Linked DNA regions of Lytechinus pictus. The protein of the gene in region 1 binds, or shares a complex with, the protein of each later gene. Links are inferred from orthologs where the notes say so. Each region holds a gene or a part of one and is shown in the gene's direction. Other genes may lie near its edges.

Region 1 (7,107 bases):
TTCTACTATCCCCTACCACCCTGAGACTTCCAAATGAAATGGATAGTAGTCATTAGTACCATACTTTTTTTTACTTTCTGTCAGTATAGATAAACAGGCAATGTCAGGGGGTTTTTTCACATGGGTAGGGCTAGCCATGGGAGATTTATTTAAAGGTCAAGTCCATCTCAGACAAAGGTTGATTTGAATCAAAAGAGACAAATCAAGCAAGCCTGTGCTGAAAATTTTATTAAAATAAGATGTAAAATAAGGAAGTTCTGACATTTTGAACTTTTGCTTATTTTTGTCAAAACAGTTCTATGCATAACTCAGTGATATGCAATTGAGACAGTTGATGTTGTTAACTCACAAATGCTTAATAACTTTTTTATTATATGAATTAAGCAACACTTTAAGTTTTCCAGATTGATAATAAGCATCCTCTTGATTGAACCATGAAAGATTAAGCCAGATGGCAGTTTCAAAAGTTTTGAGAGGACTTAAAATTTGTGTCACTTTGTAATGAGGAGAAAATTAAAATACTTTTTTTATATTCATATCATAAATTACAAAAGAAATAGTGATTGGATGATGTAAAAGGTTCCCTCATTTGCATAATGACCGGTATATGCAAATTACTGTCTTGTGAAATTACTCAAAATTTGTAAAATGTCATACTATACTTATTTTATTCTGATTTTGAATTTGATGAAATTTTCAGTATGAGTTCAGCAAGATTTTGTTTTTCTTTTTATTCAAATTGACTTGTTTGGGTGGACTTCCCCTTAGTTCCACATTTATGTGTTTGTATCCTCCAATTAAAGTCAAATCTAGTGAACCCCTTTTACTCCTGATTTTGGCTAGTCTCCTGTGCAAACCCCTCACTTGAGTTAAAGGTCTGAATGTGCAGCCTACATATTTACTGAAACAGCAAGTTTTATATATGCGAGTCTTCTGTGGAGACTCAATTGTTGATCAAAGCTTCAATTAGGGTCTGTGCCTGCAGACTAGATTAGGGCTATGTGGATTCTGAACATTTTTGTTGTGTTGTGGATTTTTCTTTATTGCCCCCTCTCAAAAATGAATACAACATGTGTTAATACATGTATATATGTTTTTTTCTAATTAAAACTTGCACAAGTTCACGAAAGCTAAGTGTTATGTTCATTTATCTGCATGGTTGCATGGGGTTTTGCATGATGTGCAAATTTCAATTTATTTTCAATTCAATATTCCAATAAAAAGCAATGCAGAGTATAGAATAGAGTGATAACACCATACAACAATGATAAGGCAAACAAAGGTATTAGAAAAATAGAATTTAAAGAAGATACATGTTCAATTGATTTGACTAAAAAGAATCGCCTCAACAAAAATCCCACTGACTGGCCTTTCGTTTCAGTTATATTAATTCCTTCGCATTCTATAAGGATATTTCAATGGGTACTAAACAATGGTACAGAAAAGCTGAGAATATTGGCAAACTAAATAAAAATGGTTTCAGTTCTGCCGTTTTGTCTACTGCCATTTTGTCCACTCACCATATGGTCTAATGTCATTTCGTCAGCCATCAGTTGGTCCACTATCCACATCGTCCAATTACCATTTTGTCCAATAGCCAGTTGGTCTAATAACCATTTTGTCTATTCTCATTTGGTCTAATTGCATTTTTTTGCCATTTGGTCCAATAGCCACTTTGTCCAATCTCATTAGGTCTATTACCATTTGGTCTAATAGCCAACTGGTCTAAAGGCAAATAATAATAATAATAATAATAATAATATAGAGTATTTCTAAAGCGCCAAATCCACATTGATTATGTGCTCAAGGCGCTGAAATATACTTGGTATATTATTATTACCCCGGCTGTAGCTGAGCGGCCATACAGGCGCTAAAGCATTCAAGGAATAAATCCCACCGGGTACCCATTCACCTCACCTGGGTCGAGTGCAGCACAAAGTGGATAAATTTCTTGCCGAAGGAAATTACGCCATGGCTGGGATTCGAACCCACGACCCTCTGTTTCAAAGTCCGAAGACAAATCCACTGGGCCACAACGCTCCACAATAAATAAATAAATAGTCTAATGACCACTTAGTCTACTTTCATTTTGTCTATTGTCCATTTGGCCTAATGCAGTTGGTCTACCATCACTTAGTCTAAACCCATTTTGTCTAAAAATCATTTGGTCTAATCACCAATAGGTTCAAATGCCATCTTGGCCAATCATTTCGTCCAACATTCATTTCATCTACAACCATAAATAGTCTTCTACTATAGCAGCCCTCTATGTGTACGGTGCCTGTGTATTGCTGACTCGCCTCCTGTAGCGCTCAGGATTTCTGATTAATACACACCTGTTTTTGTTATTTTGTTTTTGTATTTTTGGTTTTATTCACATGACTTCCTCTTATTTTACCTCTTTCCTTTTCTCCCCTCACCTACTTTTTTCTCCTCTTTTTTTTTCTTTTTGTGTGTGACTATTTGACTATGTATTGTTACTTTGATTTTGTTGTGCTTTGTGAACGGAAAATGAATAAATCTAAATCTAAATCTATTATAAATATTAATTACCATTCTTCTTATTATTATTACTATTATTTATTCATTTTTATTATTATTGTTATATGATGATGAATGATCGATGATTATCATTTTAATTGTTATATCCGACCAGAATTTTGAGTTACTTAGTGGGCTCATATACTGACAATAGAGCTTTTAAGGATTGTGTTAGTAAAAGGATATGTATCTCCTTAATCAAATAATTCAAGCACGAAGCGCGAGCTGAAAATTTTTGATATTCAGACCAGAAAAAAGGGGACATTTTAAGGACTGTTTTTAGGTTTTCATGAAGAGCAGACATATCTCACCAATCCGCGAATGCAGACCTAAGCACGACTGGAAATGTTTTCGGAGGCTATCACATTAAGTAGTCATGAAACAGAAGCATATGTCACTACATAAAATAGTAAAAGCTCGAAGTGCAAGGAAATATATTTGGTGTATATTGACTTGAAAACGGGATGTTTCAATACCATTTAGTGCCATTGAACAGGATGATCTATCTCATTAAACAGACAATGCGAGCACCAGGAGTGACGAACACATAGGCCCTAAGCAAATTGTGTTTCATACAGTTATGAAAAATATATCTTGTGTATAATATAATGCAATATATAATACAAATGTTAAATAATATAACATTAAAATAAAATACAATGATTTCTTCTTTCCCCACTACATTTCTCTTTCTTCCTCTTTTTCTCCTCCCCCTCCCCCGTTTTTTTTTTGCCAGCTGAAGGGGGTGGGGGCATGTGTTCATTCCATTCCTGATAGTAGTTATCATGATTTTTTAATTCATTTTTTATTTTCAATAATTTCAAGGTATATATATTTAAGTAATTTTGCCGCCTCTGCTCGGATAATGCAACGTATTTGTGTTTGACAAAATGGCTATTGGACCAATTAGCTATTAGACTAAATGGCTATTGGATGATTTGGGAATTGGAAGAAATTGGTTGTTAGACGAACTGATTACTAGTATCGGACCTAATGGTTGGTGGACAAAAAGATAATTAGACGAAATGGCAATTAAACGAATTGATAAGTAGACAATTTGAATATTGGACCAACTGATATTAGCCGACATGGCTATTGGACCAAATAAATGTTGGACGAACTGATTGATGGAAGAGTTGGCATTAGCCTAAATGGAATCAGACTAAATGGGTGGTAGACGAAATGGATATTCGACAAAATGACGACTGCTGGACGAAATGGGTGGTAGATGAAATATTGATTGACGAAATGGCATTTGACAAAATGAAGGTAGACCAGTGGGATGGCAGTAGACGAATTGGCAATTTAACATAAAAATATGTGTAGTAGCTAGCTCGACCCCTAGATAGCCCCCCCCCCCCCCCCCATAAATGCGTGAAAAGGGGCATATTAATCTTAAGTCATCACAGCTCCCATGCTTCTGTAGAAAAAAGTCTTTTATAAAAATAATATTCAACTATCCACTGTCATAAATTGAATTGAATTGAAATTGAATAAATCGCAGTTTGTTTTGAAATAAATGAGATGAGATGAGCAGCTCAGAGTAGCCTTTTTTCCAAATAATTACTTTTTTATTTGTGTAAGTGCGTTTACCATAAGAATTGCTTGGTCCACGTGCATACTAAACAAAATTGCAACGAATATTGAGAGGAGAATCGATCTTTGTATGTTTAATAGTTTCAATATCCGTCGATTATCATAATTTATACTAATTCGATTAATCATCTGAACCTAAACTGTAAAAAAATAAGGATATATTCATTTCGCCAGTGCCATCTTCGCTTCGGACTTTGCATCTGCTTGACGGACCGCTCGTCTCATTATCCGCCGCAACCTCGGCGTGGCAAAGACGGCACTGCGCTAGAGAGGAGACTTCACAATTCCTAGTCGAATAGACTTGAACAATCATGAATGAACAGCAGCAGCTTCAGCTCTTGGCTGAATTAGAAGTAGAAATGATGGCAGACATGTACAACAGGTTAGTACTGCTAATGTAAACATGGTAAAAGTAGTAAAAGTGCATGTGGCTGTTCTCCGAATCATATTTTCTTTGACATTATTATACTAGGCTGCTCCACATTATATAGAGTCTAATATTAATACTTTTAATACTAATAGTAATATATTAAAAATTCATCAACTCGAATACCAATTTTTGATAAATTGATTGTTGAAAAGTCTACCAATCCGTCTATGTAATCTTTTCTCATTTTGTAAAACGATGTTCTTGCGGGATGCAGCAAAAAATTATTATTTTTGACCGATAAATATCGCATGATAAAGTTACAATAGCCCCCTATCTCTTAAATTTTCTTGTATTTTAAGGAAGTAAGCAGAACTTTCAGAACTACCTTTTTCAATGTTTTTTCTCGATTAGTTATCTTGCGCACAGATATTTTTATGTGCCATTGTGATTGTCAACTTTACGCATCATAACTGTGATGTCAAACATGCTCATTCAAAGTTACAAAAAAATTACAAGAAAAGATACAAGAATGTCAGACTACGGATTTTATCTGAAGATACAAGATAAGACAATTTTCAGAATACGGCTCCAGATCCTATCGTCCTACATTTCATTATCTTATACCATAATTTCAACTAATTCTTAAAATGTATGTACTTTTCTTTTTTAGGATGACTGTTGCTTGTCAGAAGAAGTGTATTCCACCTACCTACAAAGAAGGTGACCTTTCTAAAGGTGAAGCTGTCTGCTTGGATCGCTGTGTTGCTAAGTATTTGGAGGTCCATGAGAGCATTGGTAAAAAATTGACTGAGAAGTCAGCCCAAGATGAGGCCATGATGAAACAAATGCAGGGACAGAGTTAGTGATGATCTCCAATCAGCCCAGGGCCCAGGTACATTAGAGATGCAATTCAATTGAATGTACAATTCATTGAATTGCTTTTAAAATGTTATAGGACCCAGATCAGATGTAACTTGTGGATGCAGTTATCTTGGCCACATATCAGCTTCATGAAAGCATTAACTATTAAGTCCAGAGGAGTTTGGTTTTCAGCAGTGGTCAAGGCAGGATATCGCCTGTTTGTAAGATCATATTTGAGAAGTTTAATTTGTAACTTGTCCAACGGGCTGAATGAAGGACAAGAGAATGATAACTGAGCCATGCAAGCCTCACCCACATTGAATTTGATTTTTTTTTTTTAATTAGAAAATTATGATAATACTCTGCTTTAGATTAAGATGCAACTTCTGTGACACAGAATCTGGTCAGTTTGTATATATGACTAGCATTCTCTTGCCTTGCATTTTTGCATCATGTTTGCAAAATTGCTATAGGTTTAGCAACGATGCAATATTTAGGTGCAATCACTCTGCAAGTGTTGCAATGATGTTATTATCCAGCGTGTTCTGTGCAGACTGCAGAGCACAGGATTGCATGGTAGATTTGAGAGGACAATATATTGACACTTTTGCTAAATGTCACAGAAGGTAAATCGCAGATTTAAAGCCATTGATATTGGCGGAATTGCGGGGGTAACAAAACTCTGTGTATCTAGAAAGGCATGTTCTGGAGAATTAAAAAGAAAATTATTCAGTTTCATTTGAGCTTATTCAGCTTTGCCAAAATTTCAAATTTTGTATTGTAGTCCATAGTGCATACAATTCCAAACTTCTGATAGTAAGCATTTTTTAATACAAGGGTGAGGCTTCAAAGTGAAAATCAATACTGTATTTTTCAAACATATGTTTCTAAAGATGGATAGGATAAAGTGACCATTTTCAATAAAATGAAAAAGTATCCTAAAACACCTGAGGTGAAAGATTTGATTCAGCATATAATATGAATAGGTTAAATTAACAATCAATATGTTGGGTTGTAATGGGTCCCGAGCCAAAAATCCTTGATTTTGGTATCAATAACCTTTCATGCATGGATCAAGTATCGGGATTAAATCTTTGTTAAGAGATTTTGATATGAGAGTTAACTTCATAAGTGTTAAACAAATAGGGCTACATGTATGTACAGTGGTGTACATCTGCCATCTCGTCAATATTTAATTTGACAAAGAATTAGTTTTTGGAAACTTGGGTAATTTTCACTACACTTTTGTAAGATTGGTATGTATATTTGTCTTTTACCAAAGCTTTAATTATACCATGACTGTTTACATATCATCAGTGATACTAATCACTATAAAAGAATGATCATCTGAATGTACTTGACTGACTGGTATAGGCACACTTGGCATGTTAAGAAAATTGATGTTTGTTGAAATTTTATTCTTGCCAAAGTTGCCATTGATACTCTTAACAATTTACGAGTGAGCAACTACCATGGTGACAGCCAATATTCCATGGTTGGATAGCAAAATTATCACAAAAGTAACTTTGATGCAACTACCAAAAGATAAAAGCAGTTACGGGCAGATTCATGATTTCTTAAAATGTGGAGAGGGGCACAGGCTGTAGGTCAAATCAATATTCTACCAAATTTATGAAGAGACCCCCCCCCCCTCAAAAAAATAATAAATAAATAAAAGGGGGAGGGACTGGTCTCGCTCATCTCATAAAAGGGCGTGCACAACATACATTTTTAAAAGA
Region 2 (7,478 bases), on another chromosome or scaffold:
AGGAGGAAGAAATAAAGGAAGGAAGAAAGAAAAAAAAAAGAAGAAAGAAAGAAAGAGAGAGAGAATGGCTGCGGGGAAGAGAAAGAAAGAAAGAAAGAAGGGAAAGAAGGAAGGAAAGAAAAAAGAAAGAAAGAAAAAAAACTGAGGGGAAGAGAAAGAAAGGAAAGAAAGGAACGAATAAAGAAAGAAAAAGGGTAAAAGGAAAGAAAGGAAAAGGTAAAGGATGGATGGAAGGAAGAGAAAGGGAAAGAAAGAAAACAAGAGAAAGGAAAGAAAAAAGAAAGGAAGAAAGAAAAGGTAAAAGGATAGATTGAAGGAAGGAAAAAAAGAAAGAAAAGAAAGATAGATAGAATGAAAGACAGAAAGAAATGAAGGAAGGAATGAAGGAAAGAGATGAAGGAAGGCAGAAAGAAAAAAAAATAAGGAAGAAAGAAAAGGATGGATGGAAAATAAAAGAAAGATCAAAAGAACGAAAGACAGAAATAAAGAAAATCAGGAAGAAAGAAAATGAAAGGAAAAAATAGAGAAAAAAACTGAGGGGAAGAGAAAGAAAGGAAAGAAAGAAAGGAACAAATAAAAAAAGAAAAAAGGTAAAAGGAAAGAAAGGAAGAAAAGGTAAAGGATGGATGGAAGGAAGGAAAAGGGAAAGAAAAAAACGAGAGAAAGGAACTTGAGAATGAAAAGCAGAGCTTCCAAGTCTCCCGGATCCTGCGGGAGAATACTGGATTGCGATCCAATCTCCCGTTTTCCCGACCCCATGCCAAAATCTCCCGGATAATCAGGATTTTTAGCTGTTAAATTATAAAATTCATACAAACGACTGTTTAACAAGTCTAGCATGTTCAACTTCCTAGCTTATACGGCAGCTTATATGATACGCGCCGTATAAGCTAAAACAACAACAACAACTAACACCCACGTGGAACCTCCTTATCACATTTTCATTTTACCCAGTAAATTCTACCAGTTTTTGTATAATCGTACATTGATTTCCCATGTAAATTAAGATAATTTTACTGAACGACTGGTGAAGTAGTCTAACAAGCCATTTTATTTCCAGGTTCTGCAATGTGTGTGATGAAAACTCTTCAGCGGTACTCCATGCACATGGCCCCCGATGCGCCCTGGAGTGGCTCCAGCCGGCCGCGCTGCGCCAGGAAGCTCCGAGAAGGAAAGTTCACGAGCACTGCGAGGCATTTTTCGTAAGCTTGCTTGCGCCTTATTCGAGCTGAAACTGTGGATCAACGATGGGATTAACAAGTGGATTACTTTTACACCTCGACTTTCAGTTTCAGGAATAATTTAATTGACAATCCTGAAGAATTAGAAGCAAAGTGGAGATTTTTTCGCCTACTTTCACTTGGGTTGATCGGATTCGAACATTTTCTCTTTCGTGAGTGAGCTAGCCTGGCGCTGGCTGGCTGAGCTGTGCGAAGCACGCCCCGTTAGTCCGGGGGCAGGGGGAGTTTATTCAGCTGATCGGGTACATAAGGTTTGATGGTCCCAACATGTTGGCATGATATCAGTGGTCAAGAAAATGTGTTGCTGCCGGGTCATATCCTGTACGGAAGGCCCAGAGGACCCCATTTTTGTCGGCCATCTTTGATTTTTCATGAAAATCAATTATTTTCATATTTTTGCACAAACAATGGAAAAATATTAAATGAATACGCATTTCACAATGATTTAGACAGTAGAAATCGATTGCAATCATTTTTTGGACAGTCCGGTTAAAGGGGAAGTTCACCCTGAAGAAAACTTTGTTGTAAAAATAGCAGAAAAAATAGTAAAAAATATTGGTGAAGGTTTGACGAAAATCCGTTAAAGAGTAAGAAAGTTATTAGAGTTCAAAGTTTTGGATTTGTGACGTCATAAACGAGCAGCTGCCCCATGTGTTATGTAATATAAAATGCATGAATTTTGAATTTTGTATGGTTCCTGATGACTTAATTTTTTTTCTATTCATGATCGGGTGTGAAATGATTTGTCTATTGATATACAAAAGGTACAGTGAAAACCATTTTCAATTTTCTGAGAAAATGACATTTCATTGATTTTTTACCATTCGCTATGTAGGAATGCTGCTCGCACATGACGTCACAAATCAAATAATTGAAATTCTAATAACTTTTTAATTATTTGATGAATTTTTCTCAAACCTTCGGCAATATTTTTGATTATTTTTTCTGCTATTTTTACAATAAACTTTTTGTCAGAGTGAACTTCCCCTTTAATATTTTTTGAAAAATATAAGAATTTATGCCAAAATTTCCAGGTTTTTAGGCAAAAATTTGCATGTGCATTGATATCTTTCCGTTCGTCATTAATATCAACAATTAATGAAAAATATCAGCATTCAACACGAAAGAGAATATATTAACGAGAATATTGATATGCTTCATGACAATATTAATGTCTTAATTTGGTTAGATATAGGGAAAATACTTCCAAATGTATTCCCCGATATTGCGATTAAATGACACCAAAAAGCAACCTCCGTCACTAGTCACACGAGTGATACCGACTTCAATGCGCTCGCTATAGCTTTCCTTTCAAAAGAGTACAATAGACTCAATCGGTCTTGTCTTGCCTTTGTTGGTGTGACTAGCACGCATGAATGCATGTCATGAGCGTCGCTATAGAAAAATGTATATTACATATATGGGTATGAGGGAAAAAGGCGTTTTTTACATATTTAAGCAGCTTTTATGTTAATGAAACCTCTTGGAAAAGTTAGAGGAGGGATTGCTCTGCAGGTCGCAAGCAATTACATTCGGACACCTTAAAACATAGTCCCGCAAGAGCCTGTCGAAGGTACCCCACCCTTATCCAAAGCTTGACTATTAAAATATCTTGCCCTTTGGAGCCCTCAATGTGGCAAAATGATGCTACGGTTAGGTATAAAAACAACTTTTATTTTCTTGAAATCACTTGCAGACGAAAGAGTAGGCTTTTCTCCATCAGCTACATTTAAATAAGTGAGGGCACAACAATGCCTACCCTCTCAGGGGGCTGCCCCAAGTCACCCACCCCCTTTTTCGTATTTTGCCCATTTCTTGGAAAATTTGTCAATTTGGAGCCACATTGATAAAAAAGTGTTTCTACTATGTAGTGAAACCACTTTTATCGTTTTAAACCACTTGGAGACAAAAGAATAGACTTTTTTCTATCTGCTACATATAAAGAATTACTGGAAATTCGAAGCCACCCCTGTCAGTGGGATGCCTAAAACACCTTCCCCTTTTTCCATATTTTTCAAATTTATGGAAAAATCTGAAAAGTTGGAGCCCCCACTGAGGCTAAAGGGTGTTTCTGCTAAAAAGCAATCCATTTAATTGTCTTAAAACCACATGGAGACGAAAGATTTGCCTTTCCTCTATCAGTTACATATAAAGAGGTGCTGGTACAGCAAAGCCTACCCCCGTCAGGGGCTCCTGAAATTACCCACCCCTACAGTAAGGAAGAAAGTTCAGACTATCCAGTCATAAATAAAGAAGAAAATTTATCAATGATTTCCTTGGCTAAAAAAAAATAGTTACGAAAGAAACCATGTTTATCAACATACACACAAGTGCATATTTGGGACTGTCAAACAATGTATTTCAGTGTGTGCAATACTAGACGATCATTCGAAACCTGATCTTTTTGAAGCATAACAGAAGTGAAAATTTATCCTTATACTGCTTACAAATGATAGAGCTACCCCAATTTTTAGGAAATGTGGACATTACAAGAGTTTTCATTGGTAAGAAATGTGAAGTTTGACAGTTCTGTGGGAGATTTCTTCCAGAGCAAACTTCGTTCGTGCAGCACCGTAGAAACCATGGGCTGCGTGGACTAGGCGCTAGCTAGCTAGGTATTCTAGACTGCCATTGATTCTGTGTGTGTGTGTACGTGTCTGAGCTGTGTGTTTATTGCAGAAAATGGCGCAAATTTTGCAATTCGAATCATGACTTATAAACTTTTTTGAAAGAAATTAATGATATGGCTTTTTTTCTCTCTTTTTCTTTTCTATATTTTTGATGGTGAAATATGGGGAATCTTTATAAAATATAATTTCTATATGAGAATTTTGCTTGCCCGATTCGGGCAATTAGTTTTTATCTGTGCTTCAAAACACTTGCCCGACTCTAACTTTTACTTGCCCCGGGCAATCGGGCAAGCGCTTATGTCGCACCCTGCATTGGCAAAAGTTGACCCATATCATTTATTCTGAATACATTTGCATTTTTATGATATATGTATGCAAATGCAATGTTTTTATTTATGCATGCAAGGTTGACTCATATTTTGTATATCACTATTTAATGGAGATTTTTGATAGAGTATATGTTTGTTTCAGAACAGTGTATGTTAGCTATATAATTCAGGATATTAGAATTTACTCTCCCAGAGTTATCATGAATGATGTACATACAAGACAGAATGCTTCTGTTCTGTTCGATGTTTGTTATTATCATTATTACAGTACCTGTACAAGTATCAACTTTTCATCTCCTTGCAGATCTGTAAATTTGCAGAAGATTGACATTGAGAAGCAAGTAGTTGACCCGCAGATACAATCCTTTCCTATGAGAGATTTATTCCCTGCAGCCAAGTAGCAATAAAAAAACACTTCAAAATCATGGCAGTGCAACCTCAAATGGATGCAAAGCAGGTAGAGTACATGGAATTTATGTTGATAAAACATTAAGCTAAGGAAATTAGAAAGTCAATTCCTGACCTTTTTATGTATGATTTTTTGTTGCAATGAAGTAATCACGTACATTGTGGTCTATTCTAACATTTGGATGTGGACCAATCTGAGTTTGAGATACCATTCAATGTTTTCTCACCTTATATGCAATATATCATGTTTAAAAAAATGCATGTTCAAGATAGTAGTTTCCTTATTTCTCTTTACAGTGTAGAGAAATAAAACAGATTTTGAAATCAACAACACATTTACATTTAAACAGAGGTGGTTAGGCATGCCTACCAACCTTACAATGTAGAGGATGGGAAATAGGTGTTTGAAGTATGGAAAACAAGGCAGATAATTTGTCACAAAAGGACAGACTGAATTGTCTAGAATAGAGGAAAGTTACTTCCTTGTTTACAATTATATATAGAGGTGAAAGTGTTAAGGCACTCTTTTCCTTTTCTTTACATCGCAGTTGAAGGAATTTCTCCACTCCTACAACAAGCTGACAGAAGCATGCTTCCTGGATTGCATCAATGACTTCACTAATAGAAAGCTACATGATAATGAGGTTAGTTGACTGTTCATGTTTGAAGTTTTCATAGGCCTCTTTTTCACCAAATATATTTCAAGATATTTTTTGTATTATTCATTTTGAGAGATTAAGAATTCAAGTAACTTTGCTTAATTCGATTCTTTTGGGATCACAGAAATCTGTTTAACTTATGAGAAATTTGATCAAAGAAGAGGTTCATATAACTTGTGTTTTGCATAGGCTAGTCTGAAAATTGCTTTAAATTTAAATTTTATATCCCAAAGAATTTCAAACCTGATAATATCACTGGCGCCCATCTTACGAAGAATTTCAATAGTTCTGAATAAAAACCCAAACTGGATTCGATATCAAAATTCTGTAATTATGCGATCGAATTTAGATATATCTCAATTTTAAGTTTGTATTAAAATCTATCACATCTTTTTGTGTGATTGGACCCTGTCCAATTTTCTATTTTCAAAATAAGTTTATGTTTATGTATGATCTTATGGCTTGTATTTTTAAGTCAGGTTTAACTAAGACCATGGTCTAACTCTGCTAAAATTATGGATAGCCTAAAAAAATTCCTTACATTGTGTGTTTCTTATGTTTATTGTGCTCTTTCTTAACTTGTGAATGATGAAAAAAGCTATCTTATCTATCCTTCTGCAATGGTAAAGAATGATTTGAGAGAAAAATGAACTGATGCATTGAAATTCTATTAGAGATTTATGCCACTATTGGCTATCCATAGTTAAACCGCATTTTTAAACCAGAGTTTAAATTAAACCCAACTTTAGAATACGGGCCTATGAATTTATGCTCATTAGCAAATTATATTTGATATCTACAATGACATCATAAAGTATACATGTATACTCCCTTTAGGAAGTCAAAGGAAATGATTGATATTCTATGAATGATGAGAGATAGTGCCAAGTGATTTAGAGTAAATAGAAACTTGATGATTTTTACAAATGTTTAAAGGAAAATAATCAAAGCTATCATAAGGATGAGATGCCTGTTCAAATGCAGACCTCATAAATCAAGACAATTCATAATTAGAAAATATGACGAAACTGATTCTGTGGCTTGTACATGGCAAAATTCCTAAAACTGTCTTAAAAAATTGAATATTAATAAAACATGCAGAGTGGAATAAAAAAAAGTATAATATTCTAAATTTTGTTTTCTTTCACCTCAACATTGCAGAAACACTGTTCATTTAACTGCATGGAGAAGTACCTTAAGATGACGCAGAGAGTTTCCTTGAGATTTCAAGAGTACCAGGTCCAACAGAATGAAGGTCTTATAGCCCAACAAGCAAAGTTTGGTGGTAGATAGTAAAGGATATAAACTATAAAATACAAATCAAATTGACTGTTGCCAGCATTTAATAGTCAAATCCAGCTTCGGCCAGATTTTAGCGGCCTCATTACAAACTGTTTCAAGTGGCTTTGTGACTCTGAACTACTGGCCTCAGCTCTGAAATTAACGAGTATTGTTGAATATAATGTAACTATTAGAGGACTACCGACACCATTCAATGCAACCAGCTTGGATACTCCTGTCAGTGTTGCTTCTTTGTGGTGCTTTTTTAGGATCATCTTTGGGGTGTTGCAAGAAACTTGATTGCAACCGATTGCAAATTTCAATTGCGAATTTGTGATGAACAGATCACTGAACTATATCGACTCGATTTATAGACTTTTCTGCAAGAGAAGACGAACAAAACAATAAAAAATTTACAAACATTTCCAAGACAATTTATGATTGATTTGGGGACCAAAAATTTATTTAGTAATCGATTGCAAATTTCTTGCAATGCCCCCTTAGTTTGAACTGCATTAATACAAATATACTCATCCCATTGGTCTGATGGTTGCTCAGATTTTACCTGGCCATACATGACTATGTACATGTAGCTACCATATTTGATCTTTCTTTGGTACAAAGATGAAGGGGGTATTCTGATCATTCAATTTATTTGTAAAGTTGGAACACAAATCCAAAAGGTGTTAACCACTCCACAATCATACCTCAACTGCAAAGAATTCTTTTACTCCCCTAGTGCATACATGAATCTTTCATTCTTATCCCGGTTGCAAATGAAGCCCTTTCTATATTTTGGCTGTTTTTTGTGCTGAAAAGGAGTCCCTTTTGCATCACTTAAAATTTTGTATATTTAATTCATTTCAAAATAAATATGGTTTCTTTAACCCATTCTGAATATAGCTACAATAATGCTTATGTGATATATCA
Region 3 (7,692 bases), on another chromosome or scaffold:
CCATTTTTACACTTAAATTTCCGTTCCAAGGCATAGCATTTTTGTCTTATTGAGAAAAAGAAGAAAGAAAGCCGCTCCAAAGCATAGCATTTTCTTCTTATCGAGAAAAAAGAAGAAAGAAATCCGCTCCAAAGCTTTGCATATTTTCGTTACGCCGTTCCGGTCGCATTGATCTGCTACAATGAGCTGCAATTTTGGTGAAAAGCGGCCGCAGAGCGCTGTCCGACCATTGCCTCTGCGCGAGCGCACCCGGCGGAGGCCGCGCTAGCTGCATCATGCACGCATGCCTGTCTGTTCCATAGGGATGCATCATAGGAATGCATACGCACTCACACGCTGGCGATCCGTTCCAAGGTCCCCCGTTTTCACAAACATTTGTAGTTCCGAAGCCCGTTCCGAGGACCCTCCTTTTTACAATAAGCCCGCTCCAAGGCCCCCGTTTTTTGTCTCGCCCGCGGCACACCCCTACCACTTTTTTGGTCGAGTGCCCCCCCCCCCCCCCCGGGGAAATCACACTATCAGCGAATAGTCAGCAAAGCAAATAAGACTGCAGCTCTGATACCAAAGGGAAAGCTTACAAAGCTCTTGTTCGTCCACACCTGGAGTATGCGTCTGCTGTTACTGATCCCTACCAGGCTAGATACATCCATATGTTAGATAAAGTTCAGAGAAGAGCCGCTCGTTTTGTGATCAACGACTACAGTCGTAAGTCCAGTGTTTCCAGGATGCTAAAACAATTAGAGTGGGAAAGTCTTGTTGACAGCCGACTCAATGCCAGATTGAGCCAGTTCTACTTAATTCATAAGGGGGAATCTCCAGTAACGTCAACCAAACTCCACCTTAAAACTCTAGCCGTCCAAGTCGACGCTTCACACCAGATGCCTACAATATCATCAAATCCAGAACTGATAGGCACCTGTACTCATTCCTGCCCAGAACCATACGGGACTGGAACGACCTTCCCTTAGCCATTACATCAATGCAATCGCTTGACAAATTTAAGGCTGCTCTAAACTAATCAATTTCGCATCTGCACCCGACCACAGCATCATGGAACTTTCGTTCTGTTGCTGGGTACCCGTGATGATGATGAAGTGACGTATCATCGGCATACAATATAAAATGTGGTTCATGGCAAGAGTTACATTAACAATGTCTATTAAAAATAATAAAGGCTCAAGAATAGAACCTAGGGGCCTACCTGTTTTAATTTCTCCATGAAAGACGAATGGGTATTATTATAGACAGTAAATGTAATAAATATGACTTGAACCAATTAAAAGACACTCCTCTTATACCATTATATTGCAACTTTATCATGAGGAAGAGAATCAAAAGTCTTGGAGAGATCTTTAAAAATTCCCGTAACCTTAATACCGGCATTGAGCTCACTAATTATTTTATCATGAATTTCAATAAGTGCCATTTCCTATAGTAATTTTGACGGAAGCCGTATTGACTATCATATAATACATTGTGACATAATAAAAAATTGTATAGTCTGTTAAAAACCAATTTCTTTAAGATATTTGAGAAACATGGCAAAATTGATATTGGACAGTAGATGATGAATAGATTAGGATTCTCCTTTTTAAAAACGGGAACAACTTTTGATATTTTCAGTTTTGAAGGCGCAATTCCAGTTTAATACAAGAGAGGAATTAAAGATATGTAAGAGTGGGTCTATAATGAAAGGTAAAACATTCTTCACAACACATGGATCAATGTCATCAAATACGGTACTCTTAATATTAGATAGCGATTTACTGATATCTAATATTTCTTTTTTTGTAATCGGTTTAAAAAACATGAGAAAGTGGGTCACTCATATACATATCAAACAAATTAAAATGATCGTCATTGGGATCATTGTTTTTGCTCGATCTGATATTGACAAAATATTCATTTAAATTTTCTGCAATTTCACGAAGTCACTAATGTTACAATCATTGTGTAAAAAAGACTTTTGATTATCAGAATTATTTTTTTGTTTTCCCAAAATGTTATGGATAAGTTTCCACATTTTATTAGAATTTGTTTTCTAGGATTCAAACTTATCAAAATGATATTTTCTTTTCAACTGCCGGAGATTCAGGGTAACAGCATTTCGAATCTTTTTATATTTATCGTGATTAGCTTTCATAGAGTTTAGGTACAATTTATAACATTTATTTTTCTTTCTTGTAAGCTTCATCATATTGAGGGGAATCCGTGGCTTTCTATTCTGATAACGTTTACCAATATACTTTGTACTGATTAGCAGATACTTTATTACCTTGTATAACAAACATCTGCCAGATGTTTGTTATACAAGGTAATAAAGTTTAATGAGTCATACGCCATCTCCGGGTGGCTTTGTAGGTATACTTCTGACCAGTCCATGGTTGAAAGATCAGCACATAAATGATTAATGCTGCAGGGGATATCTTCCTGTAGGTGTGTACATGTACTTTTCATTGCTCATATATTACAATATCTGACAAATGTTACAAATGGAAGATAGGAAAGTGGTTGGGAATATCTGGTAAAAAGGCACCGACAAAGGGGAACGACTAAAAACATTTATGAATATATTGTCAATAATAGTTGATGATCTACTATTGGCTCGTTTAGGTCTGTCTTTAATGGAATAAAACCCCGATGAAATCACATGGTTCAAAAAATGAAGAAATAGAGGGCTTCCAGATTTTTTTAACAAATCGATGTTAAAGTTGCCCATTAAGAAGAAACATTATTTATATAACTATTATTCATCAGTCTATCAAAATATGAAGTAAATGCAGAAATACTCGATTTCGGTTTGCGATAAATTATCCCAATCATGATACTCTCCCCTGATTTGAACTCTATTTCAATGTGTAAATCATTGACACCTTCATAGTGCTCTGAAAAATCACACAATTTTTAATTCATATCCTCTCTAATAAATAGACCAACTCCACCACGGCCATTTAGTCGGTCACAATGTAGGAACTTCAATTGAAAAGGGGAAATGAGAGTTTGAGTTGATCCATGTTTCCGATATCCCAATCACTGAAAATCTAAATCTGATATTTGAGAGAAAACTGTGAATGTAATCGAAATTTTGAAATTAACTTCTTGCATTGAAATGGATCATGCTCAAGTGTCTTGTTACAGAGTTTTTGATAATTTCATTGAATTTGGAGGTCAAGTGATACTCACATTGGTAGAGTCAGTATATTCATCCTGGCCATTTTCCACAAGTTGTCGGTCTATATTATCTGTATCGACAGATTCTCTTGAAAAACGGAATAAAGATTCAAATTCCTAGTCATCAATTTCTGCAAATGGGAGAAGGTAAGTATCGTTTAAATTTACAGATGAGTTATTGATGGTTTCATCTTTATTCAAACTTGAGTCTATTATTACATCATTCGACATCATTAACAAGATGTAACAGGACAAGAACACAAAATCTTCACAAAACACAAATATGTGAAAAACAATTGACAAAAGGTAAAATACTATTTCAATCACTATCTGTTATTTATCTTTTAGAGTCAGATAATAAACCGACTGATATAAACCAATCTGAACTGGAATGCAACAGCATTGATTTTTCTCTCAGGTTACAGATTCTCCAAGTCTTTTTTTCTGTGATTGGTTTTACGAATTGACTTTCCATTCGTGGTAGTTAACAGGACTACGATTCGTCCATCAGAGGACCAAGTTCCATTGACCTTTGAGTGTTTCTTCGCAGCCCACAGAAGTTCCTTGTTTGTAGTCCTATTGCCTCCTCTATCCCCATACCAGTACCTTTCAGTTTCCTCCGTGCACGCAGGACACTGTTTCGGATTGGGTATGAACAAAACTTGGCAATAATGGCACGCGGCTTCTTGTTCTTCTGATTGATGCCTGCAGATCCAGAGTCTGAAGTTGGTTTATCACTCCTTGGAGCAGCACAATGCGATCTATTGAGATCGTTTACGGTTAGATGGACACCAAGACGCTCAGCAGCTGTTTGACAAATAGCTTCATCCATATTTTCTAATCCATTCTCCTTCACACCATAAAACTTTAGACAATTGCGGCAAGAATATTGTTAAAATGAGATATGATATTTACGGAATATTGGATGGCATTGAGTGGATGCGAAGAAATATTGTTCTTCAGCAAGTAACAATATTTCATCCCACGAAAATTGGTCATCCAATATTATTATTATTATTTAGAAATCCCCACAAAGCCAAACAAAGTAATGAAGCAAAACCATCATTTATGGCATTCCTGTAAATCATGAGCATGGGCGCCTGATTATTGTAATTTAAAAATCTTTAATAAAATAAAGATGCGCTAGCGTATAATGCAAGCGCATTTGAATTCAATAAATCGATGCTCCTTTACCACACCTGTCAACTAATACACAATACAATTTCATTGTGACATAACAATAGGTTCACGCGCACAATCATTTATTAACCAATGATAAGCTTGTGGGCGGGGCAAAACATTAATTTTCTCCAATATTTTCAATATTGGATGGTTTCCATAGGCATGCACGTTAAAAATCACTTAATATTTTGTCTCTTTAAAACAACCTCGCAAGACATCAAAAACATCTGCGCCTCTAAAACCCTACATCCAAATAATATTGTGAGTTATTCCTCTTTGTTGCCTTTATCATTCTGTTTGTTTGTTTTTATTCAATCTTTAGGGCAAATCTGTTGAGAACAGAGTACTGCAAACAAGCACAGGTAGCTATGCATTGAATATTATGATCTATTATAAATATTATTCACAGTCAGTTGCAACATTTGATAGTTTCATGACAGAACTAATCAACTAGTGTACTTTGTATGTATTGTGAGCTTTAAAGGTTTGCATGGTGGTAAGACTGAATGGAGAGTTTTTTTATAACACCATGTAGGTTGGTCCTTAAAAGGACTGCTGGTTTATCTTACTGACAGTAGCTCTGAAAAGAACTGTTATCCAGGACATTTCGAGCAGATAAGCGTTGCTTGTCGGCTATGTACATTGACAAAATAACTGAATGAATTTCAAATGAACTCTAAAAAGGGGTACATGTATACATGTAAAAATCAGTGTATGACTTTAGGGGATTGGGTGGTCAGTCAGTTGGTTGGTCTGTTACAGTACATATTTTACATTTCAAACCATTTTCTTAGTTTTCACCAAATGCTCATGAGACTGATACATGTACAAATTGGTCACAAAACATTTTTTTCTTTTGATGGGTTGGGTACTCGCTCTATTGCCACAAAAAGACAGATGGCAATAAACTGAGCTAAAATGCTACATTCTCGCTGGGGTATTATTATTTTCTTCAGTGGTATTTCGCATTGACATTAATCACATGATATCTTGATGTTCTGTGATTATAGGTGTATGGACAGCAACTGGAAAAGACTTTTAGCAAACCTGTCAAAGCAACTGTCTTTCTAAATCCAGCTGCTAGAAAAGGGTAAATATTATTTGTTATACAATCACTTTATAAATACTTGTATTTATCTGAGATGGTTCAACCAGCTCTCATTGGGTTTGTTTTTCACTGTTCGCTAGGTCATTTTATTTCGATTATTTTTCTGATATATACCCATACTTGGTGGCACATGTTGCCAAGATAATGGTCTGCATTGTCAAATCATGGTTCATTTCTTTTTAATATACTAAATACCTATTAAAGACCCTTCATTTTTGTCTCACCTGCATAGCAGAGTGAGACTATAGGCGCCGCTTTTCCGACGGCGGCGGCGACGGCGGCGTCAACACCAAATCTTAACCTGAGGTTAAGTTTTTGAAATGACAGCATAACTTAGAAAGTATATGGACCTAGTTCATGAAACTTGGCCATAAGGTTAATCAAGTATTACTGAACATCCTGCCTGAGTTTCATGTCACATGACCAAGGTCAAAGGTCATTTAGGGTCAATGAACTTAGACCATGTTGGGGGAATCAACATCAAAATCTTAACCTAAGGTTAAGTTTTTGAAATGTCATCATAACTTAGAAAATATATGGACCTAGTTCATGAAACTTATACATAAGGTTAATCAAGTATCACTGAACATCCTGCATGAGTTTCACATCACATGACCAAGGTCAAAGGTCATTTAGGGTCAATGAACTTTGGCCGAATTGGGGGTATCTGTTGAATTACCATCATAACTTTGAAAGTTTATGGATCTGATTCATGAAACTTGGACATAATAGTAATCAAGTATTACTGAACATCCTGTGCAAGTTTCAGGTCACATGATCAAGGTCAAAGGTCATTTAGGGTCAATGAACTTTGGCCAAATTGGGGTATTTGTTGAATTACAGCCATAAATTTGAAAGTGTGTTGGTCTAGTTCATAAAACTTGGACATAATAGTAATCAAGTATCACTGAACATCCTGTGCGAGTTTCAGGTCACATGATCAAGGTCAAACAGGCGCGTAGCCAGGGGGGGCGGTGGGGGCGGTCGCCCCCCCCAAAACGTCCCAAAAAAGAAAAAAAGGAAGGGGAAAAAGAGAGGAGAAAAGGAAAGCGAAGGGAGGAAGGGGAAGAGAGGTTGCTTTGTGGGTTTTTCTTTTCATTCTTTATTTTTCTCTCAAAAGAATTAGTACCTTAACGAAACTCCTTCACTCTCGCTCTAAATTTATATATATATGAATTTTGCTTCCGCGCTTCGCGCGGTCAAATGACAATATTGCAGTTCTCCTTTCCCTCACCCTTTCTTTAACCCTGTCTTTCCACCTCGGTTATAGGGCTAGTGCGTTCCTTGCTACTTAAAGTTAAAATGTATACATTAGGGCATGGAATTAGAGTAAGATTAGGCCGAATTATATGAAGTTGTCTTTTTTTCCTTCAAATTGATCACGCAACATTCCGCACTTCTGGTCGGGTCGGCTCCCGGCGGGTAAAATCTTTATATCAAATGTTGCCGTCACCCCCATATAGGCAACTTCTCCCGCTTTAGCTTGTTAATAAACATTCATAATTTTGGGGTAAACAGGTTCCTAATTGAAAAAGAGGAAGGTATAAAATTCGTGTCGTATTAAATAAAAAAGTACAATATTTTTATCAAATTCGATGAAACTTCATGTCATGTCTCAGTTTGAAATTTTGAAAGACACTTAAGTTTCTTAATTGTTCAAATGCGAGCGCTTCAGGATGAGTCAAAGAAATTATTATTTTTATAATATAATTTCAATAAATCACAGAAGCTTCAACTTTTTGCGCTCTATTTTCCTTGTAATGAAGTTCAATAATCTTAGAAAATCAATAGAGCCGATGGGGGTATTGGAGATATCTGCATTTGACGTAACGTCCGCCCTTAGAAATTTCAGAGTTTCATTGCTGTGCGCGTGGAGGAATGTCTTCCTCCCGGCACCCTTCTTCTTCTCTGTTTTGCGAGTTAAAAATATGCACTGTCGCTAAATTGTTTGTAATCAAACTTTCCACGGGAATTCAATATACATGATATAACTAACTTGATACCCTTTTCCCGGGACCCTTTTCTTAAAAAACAATTGATAAAACGCTTTAGCTTCCGCGCTTCGCGCGGGGTAATTGTTATTTTAATTTCCTCCATTTATCCCTTTTAGTGCGTTCGAACATATCACAATCACTTTTCAAATCAATGTTCAAAATCAGAATATAGTCAACTGAATTGGAGCTGACGACAAGAGAGACGGCTCCTTTTCATTTTAATTTATGAAACACCGA

Evidence for each region.
Region 2: the proteins of mitochondrial import inner membrane translocase subunit Tim10-B-like (region 1) and mitochondrial import inner membrane translocase subunit Tim9-like are in contact, whole or in part, in a crystal structure (PDB 2BSK), measured with the Homo sapiens proteins. The link is inferred for Lytechinus pictus from reciprocal best matches to the Homo sapiens genes TIMM10 and TIMM9. Residues at the interface, in NP_036588.1 of Homo sapiens: Glu16, Met17, Asp20, Met21, Arg24, Ala28, Cys29, Lys32, Cys50, Arg53, Cys54, Ser56, Lys57, Tyr58, Asp60, Ile61, His62, Arg64, Met65, Gly66, Lys68, Leu69, Leu72; in NP_001291414.1 of Homo sapiens: Lys15, Leu18, Gly19, Tyr21, Asn22, Lys23, Thr25, Glu26, Cys28, Phe29, Leu30, Val33, Asp35, Phe36, Thr37, Thr38, Arg39, Glu40, Val41, Glu45, Thr46, Glu50, Leu53, Leu57.
Region 3: the proteins of mitochondrial import inner membrane translocase subunit Tim10-B-like (region 1) and acylglycerol kinase, mitochondrial-like are in contact, whole or in part, in a cryo-EM structure (PDB 7CGP), measured with the Homo sapiens proteins. The link is inferred for Lytechinus pictus from reciprocal best matches to the Homo sapiens genes TIMM10 and AGK. Residues at the interface, in NP_036588.1 of Homo sapiens: Glu40, Glu42, Leu43, Ser44, Lys45, Gly46, Ser48, Arg53; in NP_060708.1 of Homo sapiens: Phe49, Gly50, Asn51, Gln52, Leu53, Ile54, Pro55, Pro56, Val60, Ser91, Gly92, Met93, Asp94, Val95.

Annotation. Positions count from the first base shown.
Region 1 is NC_087246.1:16,544,049-16,551,155, forward strand, and holds the start of mitochondrial import inner membrane translocase subunit Tim10-B-like, read left to right. Parts: upstream 1-4,105; 5' UTR 4,106-4,448; coding exon 4,449-4,519; intron 4,520-5,177; coding exon 5,178-5,370; 3' UTR 5,371-7,107.
Region 2 is NC_087251.1:18,036,395-18,043,872, forward strand, and holds the start of mitochondrial import inner membrane translocase subunit Tim9-like, read left to right. Parts: upstream 1-4,466; 5' UTR 4,467-4,624; coding exon 4,625-4,657; intron 4,658-5,156; coding exon 5,157-5,252; intron 5,253-6,428; coding exon 6,429-6,560; 3' UTR 6,561-7,478. UniProt on the Homo sapiens protein: Mitochondrial intermembrane chaperone that participates in the import and insertion of multi-pass transmembrane proteins into the mitochondrial inner membrane.
Region 3 is NW_026974140.1:1,665,067-1,672,758, reverse strand, and holds the start of acylglycerol kinase, mitochondrial-like, read left to right. Parts: upstream 1-4,680; 5' UTR 4,681-4,715; intron 4,716-5,363; 5' UTR 5,364-5,443; intron 5,444-7,692. UniProt on the Homo sapiens protein: Lipid kinase that can phosphorylate both monoacylglycerol and diacylglycerol to form lysophosphatidic acid (LPA) and phosphatidic acid (PA), respectively. Does not phosphorylate sphingosine. Phosphorylates ceramide.